2 linked regions of the Saccharomyces cerevisiae S288C genome follow. The protein of the gene in region 1 binds, or shares a complex with, the protein of each later gene. Each region holds a gene or a part of one and is shown on either strand. Other genes may lie near its edges.

What was found.
Region 2: COG3 (region 1) and COG1 share a complex: the UniProt entries of both Saccharomyces cerevisiae proteins name them as parts of the conserved oligomeric Golgi (COG or Sec34/Sec35) complex.

The regions. Positions count from the first base shown.
Region 1 is NC_001137.3:482,884-489,896, reverse strand, and holds COG3 (Golgi transport complex subunit COG3), read right to left. Parts: upstream 5,110-7,013; coding exon 2,704-5,109; downstream 1-2,703. Other genes in the region: YER158C (uncharacterized protein), read left to right, coding at 1-1,040; MYG1 (Myg1p), read left to right, coding at 5,556-6,572. UniProt on the Saccharomyces cerevisiae protein: Acts as a component of the peripheral membrane COG complex that is involved in intra-Golgi protein trafficking.
Region 2 is NC_001139.9:76,794-82,110, reverse strand, and holds COG1 (Golgi transport complex subunit COG1), read left to right. Parts: upstream 1-1,745; coding exon 1,746-2,999; downstream 3,000-5,317. Other genes in the region: NIF3 (uncharacterized protein), read left to right, coding at 1-685; EDC1 (Edc1p), read left to right, coding at 925-1,452; SDT1 (nucleotidase), read left to right, coding at 3,254-4,096; VRG4 (GDP-mannose transporter), read right to left, coding at 4,204-5,217. UniProt on the Saccharomyces cerevisiae protein: Acts as essential component of the peripheral membrane COG complex that is involved in intra-Golgi protein trafficking.

The sequences.
Region 1 (7,013 bases):
CTGGAGGCCCATCTTCCGCAGATAACGATTCCATTGCCACTGGCACGAACAATCGTTCTCCTCAACAAACGAAAGCTGCTGATGCTAATCAGAAATCTGAATCCGAGTCTCCAAAGGCAATTAGATCAAATTCTAAAAAGATATCTCGTTTCTTCAGGAAAATCTGGTCGTCCAAGTCATCAAATTCTGCAGATTCCGTAGAAGAGAATAGCAAAACAAAGCAGAAAAGGAAAAATCCGGAGAGAGTTGTACCAGAACCGATAACGTCCCTTGACCAACCGGTTGAAATTATAAAACAGAGTTTTTCAACCGTTAACAATCACGAAACGGCTGTACCTTCAATTAAGGACTCTGGCATAGTACAAGAATTGACAGCACTCGGAGATAATAACAGGATACCAGTTCTTCCACCCCCTAGGTCACCAAACAGACCTACACTGTCTGATAAACGAACTACAAAGTTATACTACTGTAGTCAAGATTCGTCTAATGAAGATATTGCTCCAGAGGAAAAGAGCACCGTTTTCTTAAAGCGTTTGCAGGATGAATGGTCTACCGTGTATTTAAACAAATTGCCTTTGACTGCTTCTGTGCCATCTTCTCTCTCTACCACTACTGATGCTGCGAACTCTTCGTTCATAAACTCTTCAATATCATCGCCGGCTCCTTCTTCTTCGTCCTCGTCATCGTTGGTTTCCCGTGGACCAATGCAATCCATATCTTCTTCGCCAACACCTGCCCCTTCTTCAGGGTCATCGAAATCTAAAAATGCCGTCAAATCCTTACGCTTTGCGGATGAGATTTATGTAAACGATACGTGGTCCGCCGCGGACTATTGCAGGTGTGATAATACCTTTTTGAATAATTTCTTTAAAGGAAAGAGCCAAGACATTACCAATCCTTCTACTTTTGTCGGTAATAATCTCTCATCCACAAAAAATATATCCAATATTGAAATCAAAATGGAGGTGAATGAGTTCAAAAGAAAGGAAATGCGCGTTCACCAGGATAGCGCTAAGTATACACATTACTACTTATAACGGGTTCATCAAGCTTTTTTCCTTCTTGAGACTCTGTTGTATCTCTTTATATATTCTATTTTATTTTATATGCATCGAACTTTTTACGTAAGATAAATACTTACTACATTTTGGATAATTGTTTTAACAGGTTAATTTCTATAATCTATTTTTTATCTGCTCTTATAGCATTCAAATATTTGCAGCGGTAAAAAATTATGGTTAAGACCCGCGCGACTGTAAAAATAGCGCGTAAGATTTCCCTGAAGAGCGATGAGTTTTAACATTTAAAAGATATGTCTGAGATCAATCGCTTTTTTACCAGCTACCTAACTTTATAACCTTAACCGATAATTAGAATTTTTTACAGTGATTATCTAAGAGTGTTAATGAAGTTTTTATTGATGGATGCTTGCTTAACGCGGGGGCTCGAAAATTACTTAATCACATTTTTATCGCCTATGGACATACTGATAGGGAATATTTGAATTATATCATTTCGAATAATGTTCAGAATATAGTGCTGTGGTAATAATCTTAAGATGATAAATTTTAATTCACATAAAAAACTGTAATACCAATGTAGGTATTTACATCGTAATTTCTGGGGATCTCGTACAGGTTTACATGCCCCATTATACCAATAACAAAATGGGAGAGATTTAAAAATGGACTGTTCAACCAGTGGTGCAATGTAAGGTGAAGGGCTATTTGTAGAGAATGTGGATTTTGATGTAATTGTTGGGATTCCATTGTGATTAAGGCTATAATATTAGGTATGTAGATATACTAGAAGTTCTCCTCTAGGATTTAGGAATCCATAAAAGGGAATCTGCAATTCTACACAATTCTATAAATATTATTATCATCGTTTTATATGTTAATATTCATTGATCCTATTACATTATCAATCCTTGCGTTTCAGCTTCCACTAATTTAGATGACTATTTCTCATCATTTGCGTCATCTTCTAACACCGTATATGATAATATACTAGTAACGTAAATACTAGTTAGTAGATGATAGTTGATTTTTATTCCAACACTATTAATCATACAAATACTTTGAAAACTTCTTTAAATAATCTCATAAATCTTTACATTGAACTAGGATGATAAAAGTGAGCTTAACGTCAATAAATCCCACTGAACCAAAAATATGAGTAAGTAGTAGTACATTACGATACAGTTCGATTCACCTTTCTCCGGTATCTGTCACCTAGAAAACTTACGAACCGCAATGTTAAGGCAAATTCAAATCTAACAAATGAATTCCACTGTTGTTATGTTTGCATGCATCTAGGTGCGTTGTGGTCCACGAGATAACAACCTTAATGTCTCTTGGTTGATCACTACTTTGGCAGCGATCTTAATTTGTTTATATATTTTGACTTTATTGATTACTTGTTTAAATGAGTTGCTTGAATTGTTAACGAATTTACAATATTCGGAGCCCTAAAAAATTCATGAATTTAATCCGATATAGTGTAACGGCTATCACATCACGCTTTCACCGTGGAGACCGGGGTTCGACTCCCCGTATCGGAGTATTCGTTATATTTTTTCAATCGCTTACGATCAAAAGCTTTGAAAACATTTTTTTTACCGTGTAATGTAATTTTTATTTCGATATCAGATTTATGTATGCATGAAAATTATAGAAAAAGTTGAAATTACACATAAGTTTATTTCGTTATGGTATCAATATCACCATTTCTTAAAAGATCCGCCACCTCTTTGGCAAAAAAATCTGTGAAGACGTCCAAGTACATTACGTCTGCGACTTGATCCTTAGCAAACTTTCCATTTTCTGCCAATTCAGTTATAGTTTCATAATATTTGGAATATGATTGTGTAATTAACTCTTGCACAGCGTCTAATAAATTAGTAACAATCTCTTGATCATCGATATAGTTCAATATCTGTTCATATATTCTTGGTAATCTGGCCTTTATATTCTCTCTTAATTTTACGTTTTTGCTTAACAGATCTTCATCACTATTGATATCTAAAGTGTCATCAATAAGCTCCAAAGAAGTGCTTTCAGTAAAATCTTTAATGACGTTTCTCAATTCAGATATGAGTTCCGTACGGGCGTCCACCATATTGTTTACAACTTTTGGAACCAGCTCTCTTGCCAGGGTCAATATTGAAGATGACTTTGTCTTTTTCAAAACGTTTCTACCATTTTCTTTAAGTGATTTGAAAAACCCCTCAACACCAGAAAAATCCAGATAAGTTTCATTAACTGTATATTGAATATTAAAGTTCTGTATGGAATCACGTAACATCAACAAATTTTTTAGGTACGCTAATGAAATATCTAAGTTGTTAAAATCAGATTTTCCCGCTGAAGATTTGATAACCATATCATAGGCATTTCTCAAGGATACAATACAGTCGTGGACTACATGGTGAGCTAAATCATCAAATACCACAGAATTGATCATTTCATAAATTTTGGACAATAAAGCCAAAGTCTTTAACAAGGGCGGATAATATGTTTGCAACTGTGAAATTTTATCAGTAGATTCTTCTGAATCAATACTTTTATCGTCTGCATCATTAGGGGATATGGGCAATATGCTTCTATTCTTGAAAGAAGATAAATAAGATTCTAACAAGGGATCTGGATTGTCATCACTAGTAGTAGCATCTTCGTTACCCCCTTGTAAGCTGGTCTTCGATTTTCTCCTTCTATTTGAAATCATGAAAACGTCCCTAGTGGGCCTATAGCTCAAAATATTTTGTTGGACATATATTTGCACTCTTAAAATTAATCTAGCCTGCACTTTTTGGACAATCGGTTCGAATAGTTTATCATACTGAATGTCGGTAAACTGCTTCACGTATTCTTCTGAACCTTCTTCAAATTCATAATATGGAGCAAACAAAGTCACTGAGTCACACAAAGTACAAATATCTGTCTCTTTCAAAACCCTGACTCTAATGGAGTCATAAAGGGGTTCACATAACTGTAAGAACCACTGATTAATCTTGAAACGACATTCCTTTTCAGGGAAAAATTCTACGAAAAGTTTGTATTCGTCCGCGCATAACTGCTGAAAATAAACCTTACCGTCTTGAATGAATTTGACCAAGCCCTGGTCCTTATCTTTAACAACAATTTCATCAATGTGTGACCAAATGACCGGAGTTAGCAGTCTTAAACGTGTTTGGAAATAGTGGTTGAAACACTCGTAAAGAATGGAATTCAGTTCATCGTGATACTTGTTGTAGGCTTTTTCGTTGCTTCTCTTAACAATTTCCGAAACCTGAATTTTGAAAGTATCAGCTATGGTATAGAATTTACTGTACAAGAAGGCGTCTCTTGTAGTCGACGGCAACCCAGTTAACGAATTTTTGTTTTTGGTTTTATCCAAAATTTCTTGATTTGTTTGTTTCAACAGATTCGTTAAAAAGTGAGATATCAATTCACAGGCTCTGATCAAGCATTGCTTGAACTTGATTCTGTACGCTGCCGCATCCTTGAGGTCACTATTCTCATCCAAAAAACGTAAAGACTCGTCGATAGTCGCCAACATTGTCGTAAAGGAGCTCTTCTTAACAATAGCGGGAGAAGTGGCATGGTTCAAGCGACGCATTATAGGGTCTAAAACTTCAAAATAATGGAGAGCTTTAGGGATTGACTCAGTTAGATTGCTTAATTTAGACTGCTTTTCATAGATCGTCTTCGTTTCCTCAATGAAAGCTCCAGTATCCTGAGAGATTTTCCGAAATTTCTTGATGGAACTATCCAATTGATCGTTAACCTGGCGTGTTTGATCCAGAACAACTTTATACTCGTCTATCTTAATGTTTAACTGGTCCAAATAGGTAGTATAATACAAATACTTGTTTGTCTTTTTTACATCCGCAGAAGTCGTAGCTTCAGAACCATTAACCTCTGAACAACCTTCTGAGACATCAGTTCTTTGCAGACTGTCAGAATTTTCCACAGCCAAAGATAGCTTTTTTAGCTTATCAAAAAGGTACGAATCGTCCAGTAAACCCACTATGGTCTGAGATTCTGGTATAGTCGGATGAGACGCAATATCTCGAACCAATGAATTCTTTCTACTTCTCGCCATCTTTGGATGTGTCGATAATTCGTGCAATATTGGGTAAAACAATTCATGCTGGGAGTATTTATTGTGTGTCTATAAAGCCAAGACTTTACATAACAATGGACGCAACGACTGCCGTTATACAGGGTAACCTCAATTTGCGCCTCTATATTCTATATTAATACTACTTATGATCCATCCGCAGCTGATACTTAGAGTTACGAGGCAGAGCATCGAAAAATCTGAGCCCACCATTAAGTTGCAATATAAGTACGAATTTTCCTGCTCTTCTCTCGTCTTTGGATTACTGTATTCATTGATAAATCTCTATTATTTTTTTCAGTTTTTCACTTTCTTTTCGAGCGATGGGAACGGCAAATCACGAAAATTTTCTGTCAACGTAGAAAGTAATGATGTGTTAATACTATCGAAAAGCTGTGGAATTGAAGAGCCCAGCCCAAAAAGTCTGCATGAATAGCGTAAAAAGAGTAAAGCTAAATTCAAAAATGTCCAAACAAATATGCACGCATTCCGGATCTTTTCACGCGGACGAGTCGTTGGCGGTATACATGTTAAGGCTACTACCCGAATTTAAAGATGCTAAGTTGGTTAGATCAAGAAATCCCAAGGACTGGGAGGCTAGTGACATTCTAGTGGATGTAGGAGCTCAGTATGACGGCGTGAAATTTTTTGACCACCACCAGCGTGGATTTTTCGAAACTTTCAACGAGAAATACAAGACTAAGCTCTCAAGTGCTGGTCTGATCTTCAAACACTACGGTCGTGACATTATCAAAACAATTTTGAACAACAAGGTTAGCAGCTCTGATTTAGATCTGCTCTATGACAAGGTATACAAACAATTTGTCGAGGCACTGGATGCAAACGACAACGGTATTAGCAAGTACACGATTCCTAAGGATTCCAACTTGGAACCGAATTTCAGGGATAACGCCATCAGCATTCCCGGGATTATTTCAGGTATGAATCCTAACTGGAACGAAGACACTTCCGATGAGTCTTTTGACAGATGCTTTGCTCGCGCAAGTGAGTTTATCGGTGGGGTCTTTGTCACATTGGTAAGAGGCTACGGTCAATCGTGGTTGCCAGCCAAGGCCCTTGTGGCGCAAGCCATTGATGAAAGAATGGATGTTGATAAGAGTGGCAAAATCATTGTCTTGCCCCAATTCTGTCCATGGAAGGAGCATCTATACGAGCTGGAAAGAGAGAAGAACATTGAAAAGCAAATCGAGTTTGTTCTCTTCACAGACTCTTCTGGTGCCTGGAGGGTATCTACTGTACCAATCAACTCCACCTCCTTCCAGTTTAGGAGAGGTTTGCCGGAGCCATTAAGAGGCCTCAGAGACGAAGAGCTGAGCACCAAGAGCGGTGTGCCAGGATGTATCTTCATTCATGCAGCAGGTTTCATTGGAGGTGCCAAGTCCAAAGAGGCTGTATATGAGCTGGCTAAGATGTCTTTGGCCTAGTCGGGAGCGAGCGCTCAGTCAGGTCCCTTATCTATTTAATAATATTTAACAATTCCACTATTTATTCTGTATAGTAAGTAAATCTTTAATGCAAGCAAAAATCTTCCCGCCGCGAATCCTGAAACATATTCCCCTCGGTGAAACACGCTCTTGAAAATGACCTGAGAACACAAGATATCAGACGGCTCTTGTTGCACAAAAAACAAAAACAAAAGAAGCAAGCTACGTTGCAGCCACTGGTACTGTCTGCTAACTCAAACATTCTTTTTCATTTTTAATATACAGATTTCGTATTCTCCCGTTCCCGCTATACGCAATTTTCTTTCTTTTTTTTCCCTCTTTGGTTAGGAGACTGCAGATCAGTCCCATTTTTTCCAACAGAACAAACAAGCAAACGTTTCAGTTTAAAAGAACACACGGTCGTCGTGCCTTTTCTGGATA
Region 2 (5,317 bases), on another chromosome or scaffold:
CACGAAGTCAGTTGCTCAAGAAGCTGTGGATGCTAACTGCAACGTAATTGTTGCTTACCATCCTTTTATTTTCCCAAGCTGGAACAGATTAAGCCCACATACAAACCCACAACACGAGACAGCTATAAAGCTAATCCAGTACGGAATATCCGTATACTGCCCTCACACTGCCGTAGATGCCGCTCGTGGCGGTGTAAATGACTGGTTGGTTAGGGGTTTGAACAACGGAGAGAACGTCGCAAAGTCTTATGCCTTGGAAACTGTAAGTGGCGAAACTGACGACTTGATTGGCTACGGTAGATTCGTAGAATTCAATAAAGACATCTCTTTGGAGCAAATTGTCAAAAATGTCAAGCGTGTTTTACGGGTTCCCTATGTACAAGTAGCATCTCTTGCTGCTCCATCCGCATGGAATCAACTCAAAATCAAAAAAGTCGCTGTCTGTGCCGGGAGCGGTTCTGGCGTGTTTAAGCAACTAAAAGAGGACGTAGACCTTTACTATACGGGAGAAATGTCACATCATGAAGTACTGAAGTGGAAAGAAATGGGCAAGACCGTTATTGTTTGCAACCACTCAAATACTGAGCGTGGATTCCTTCAAGACGTTATGAAGGGCTTGTTGCAAGATGAGGGCCACGAAGTAGTCGTAAGCAAAATGGATTGCGATCCTTTGACTGTTGCATAGCTGCTAGTAATTATATGGCTATATAGGATATCACAAATACCATACGTACTACAGTTTTATCATCCGGCTGTTCGTGTAAAATGATGTTGTTGTATCGGATAGAGAAATACGGATAGAAAAGGTAAAAGTCTTCAAATAACAAGGACAATAACATACTCTGTATTGAAGACGAAGTACTCAGCAAAGCGTAACGTAATTACACTTAGCACACAAATATACTCACACAAATATTACAAGGCATGTCGACGGATACCATGTATTTCAACAGCTCCAGGCTGTTGCCATCGGCTGGCAGGAACAAGACAAATAATCTAATCAAACAAAAAACTAGAAATAATCGTGCGAGGGGAAATGCTGCTAAGAACGCCAATAATAACAACTATATCACAGATATACCACCTCCTCAAACTCTTCCTAACGGTCAGAAACCTAACTTCGGCCATTCTTCCAACAAGAAACCATCATTTAATCAAAAGAAGCACTCTCCACCTTCTTCCCCTTCCTCTACAACTACTTTAGGTAAAAAAAACAGACAGAATAATAAAGAAACGCCACGACAGAACAACAAAGATGATACTCGTTTACTGAGTCAGAACCTAAAGAATCTGCTTCTGAACCAGAAACAATCCCCGCATGGCTCTCAAGGGATAATACCAATGGGTTGTAATGGCAGTGCCAAAAAACTCAGTCACTCTTATGCAGGCTCCACTTTCGCCACTAATGGTCCAAGGGAGGCTAAAAACTTGCCCAAACCAAGTTTTTTATAATCACCCTTTAGAGAGACATTTTTGATTTTTTTTTTTTTTTTTTTTTTTTTTTTTTTAGAATAATGCATATTTTTATTTGATATATACCTATGTACCAATTATACGAATGCTTATGTCTGTTTTGGATCTGGTCATCCAAAGCAATTTCTCAGATGACAATTTTTTTTTCCTATTTTCTGTTACAGTTCATCATTATGCTGAAGAAAAATGAAACATGGCGGTGAATAATAAATAACACATTCGTACAACAAATCTTGTGGTAGAAAACCTAAAAAAAACCAATACGATAGAAAATGGATGAAGTCTTACCATTGTTTCGCGATTCTCATATTCCACAGATTAAAGATTATCAATTGGAGTTACAGAACGATTTGACTAAAACCAATGAGGCCTTCCAAAAGAATTTGCTAAAGAACTATAACAAGATCTTAAGCTTGACCGATTCTGTTAATGACTTGTCGCTCAATTTGAAAAATGTTGATCAAGATTTTAAATCCCTGTGTTTCAATGATGAAAAATTTCAGTTGAATAAGTTAACTCCACTACCATACCAAACCACTACCCATATATCACCACCTCGTGACGAAGAAAAAGTCAGCATACCATCGCAAAACATTTTAGTAATTTCAAATTGGACCATCTCCATCAACAACTTCTGTAATCGTATAGTTACTTCCACTACTCCGTCGCGGATATTCGACGAGCTACTGTTGAATTTCCACGAATTATCTTTGATACCAGTTCCTTCCAAATTTGAAGCGCTTGTCAAGGACAAATGTTGTCGACTACAGAAGTTCTTGGTGGACTCTATGAAGACATTAAACTTAACTTTACTACAGTGGGTAAAACTATACAATTTACTAAACACGGAGTTTTCCTCGAAGTGGGACGATGATTTACTTTCTATATTCAATGAATCCCTATTCGAGACACTATTTAACGATAACGTTCAAGCGTTACTGATATCAAGTGCCAACAGCAAAGATCATCAATATCACTCCAATCAGCAATATAAGGACGCGATTGTTGTCGATTTTGTGAATTCGTCCACCTTTAGAGACCATCTCATTCGGAGAACCGTGAAAGAAATAAACACACATTTGGATACACTCTCTACTTTGAGAGCCAAGCTTAAGGAGCCTGAAACTCTTCATAAATTAGATATCTTCCATGATAATGATACGAACCTCAATGATGGCACTGTATCTCCACTTGATGATGATGCATTGAAACAATATATTGATACAGCGGTATTCTATTCAAAAGGTTTAACCAATGATACCACGTTGCAAATTTATCAAACGGTGCAGCCTACGATTGAAATCCTACAAAACTTAGAATTGTATAAATGCCCTCAAGAGACACTGACAGATTTGAGAAATAAATTGATTACTCAATTGCAAGAGTTTAAGACTCAGATCTCATCCCGCTTACCTTCACCACTGGAAAACTCAACGAGTGTTGTGGATGATTTTATAACTTCGTACAACAATCACAATCTCTTGCAATTAGTCATCGATCAAATTACTCAATTAAGGCAACAGTAATATAATAGCACGAGGGAGGGTACCCGCCTCGCAAACTTATTGATAATGATAATGGTATGGGCGTTGATATATACATATATATATATATATATATATATATATATATATACATAATATATATATGTTTATCTGTGTGTATCTATGTGGACTTCAATAAGTGATCGCCTTCTTGATATCATATTACTCCCCCATTTCACCTGAATTAATTTCGGAATACATGAGTAAGCTCTTGGACCGAATCATTACTAGGCTTCATGACTGTTGAATATACTGCATCCGATTTGGCAACCTATCAGAATGAGGTGAACGAACAAATTGCCAAGAATAAAGCACATCTTGAATCATTGACTCATCCAGGTTCGAAAGTGACATTTCCGATCGATCAAGATATTTCTGCTACACCTCAAAACCCGAACTTAAAAGTTTTCTTTTTTGATATCGACAACTGTCTCTATAAATCATCCACGAGAATTCACGATCTTATGCAACAATCTATACTGAGGTTCTTTCAAACACACTTGAAACTATCACCTGAAGATGCTCACGTTTTGAATAACTCTTACTACAAAGAGTATGGACTTGCCATAAGGGGACTTGTAATGTTCCACAAAGTGAACGCACTGGAATATAACCGGCTTGTGGATGATTCCTTACCACTACAAGATATCTTGAAACCTGATATACCATTAAGGAATATGCTGTTGAGATTGAGACAATCGGGAAAGATTGATAAATTGTGGCTTTTCACCAACGCTTATAAAAACCACGCAATACGTTGCCTGAGATTGTTGGGTATAGCGGATTTATTTGATGGATTGACATATTGTGACTACTCTAGGACAGATACGCTGGTCTGCAAACCACATGTTAAAGCATTTGAAAAAGCCATGAAGGAAAGCGGGTTGGCAAGATACGAGAATGCTTATTTTATAGATGACAGTGGGAAAAACATCGAGACAGGTATCAAATTGGGCATGAAAACATGTATTCATTTAGTTGAGAATGAAGTAAATGAAATTTTGGGGCAAACACCAGAAGGCGCTATTGTCATTAGTGATATATTGGAGTTACCACACGTTGTGTCCGACCTGTTCTAAGGTATATCAATTTTAAGTATAATTGTATATAAATCTACTTGCATTAGATGCCTCTATAAAATAAAATAAACCAAAAAAAAAAAATAAATTGCACCCCCCGTAAGTTCTCATTTACGTAAAGGTTGGGCTTGTTGCTTCTTTTGTTTGGCAACAGCATAAATAATACCTGATAGGAAACCAATAAAAATGGAGAGAATAGATAAGAAGTTTCTTGGAGCATCAAAGAAAATCAAACCAGACAAGGCAATTGGCAGCTTGTTCAAAGCCCCTACCATCGAATATGTAGTAGACGAAGTAACACGAACACACCAACCGGAACAGTAAGAAATACCGACGGATGCAACACCACTGATGATCATAGCAGTTAGCGAATCGTTAGAAAAGTTATTGGTCAAATTAACTGAAGACCAATCTTCCACACAGAAAGAAAACAGCAATAGAATAGGTAGAGCCAAAACATTGTTGTAAAACATAGTGTCGAAATCCTTGAAGTTAGTTAACTTAATTCTCTTTCTCATTATAAGAACGAATAATGCAGAAGTGATACAGTTGGTGAACATCCAGAAATAACCTGGGTTAAAGGAGGCAACAGCACCGGCTGCTCCTTCAGCCAATGAAGCAGCCTTGGCAGCCACAGCTTGCTGGTCACCCCAAGTTGCAACGACAGAAGAAAGGACCATCAACAAAAATGATGACAATTCCATGGAGGTGACAGAGCCACCAAAAAAGAGAACCTCACCATAAGCAATCAAGATAATAGTCAAATTCTTGAAAATGGTGTAAATTGGAACAGCCAAGTATTGTAAAGCCTTCGAAGAGGTGTAGATCATCAAGACCAGTAAAAAGGAAATAGGGAACCAGTTCTTGGCGTCTGTTTTGTTTAATGAACGGAACTTCGCATAGCCCAGTATACGTAGGATAATCAAGGTTATAGTACAAACCAAAGATTGCACGAAAAGCATGACAAAGTTCATGTTGAAATCCTTCAAATTGACGACGAACTTGTTAGTCACCGTCATTAAAATAGAGGAACCACAGTAGGATAAAATAGAGATCGGACCGGAATTGGCAACTGAAGCCCAAGGGTTATGGCCTGCATGACCTGTTTTCAATTCAGACATTCGGGCGAAAGATACTGTGTGGTTAGTGTGTTTGTTTTCTTAGGCTCTTTTGGTAATTAAGAGGATGTCAACAATTAATCGGCAACAAGAAATAGGCTTG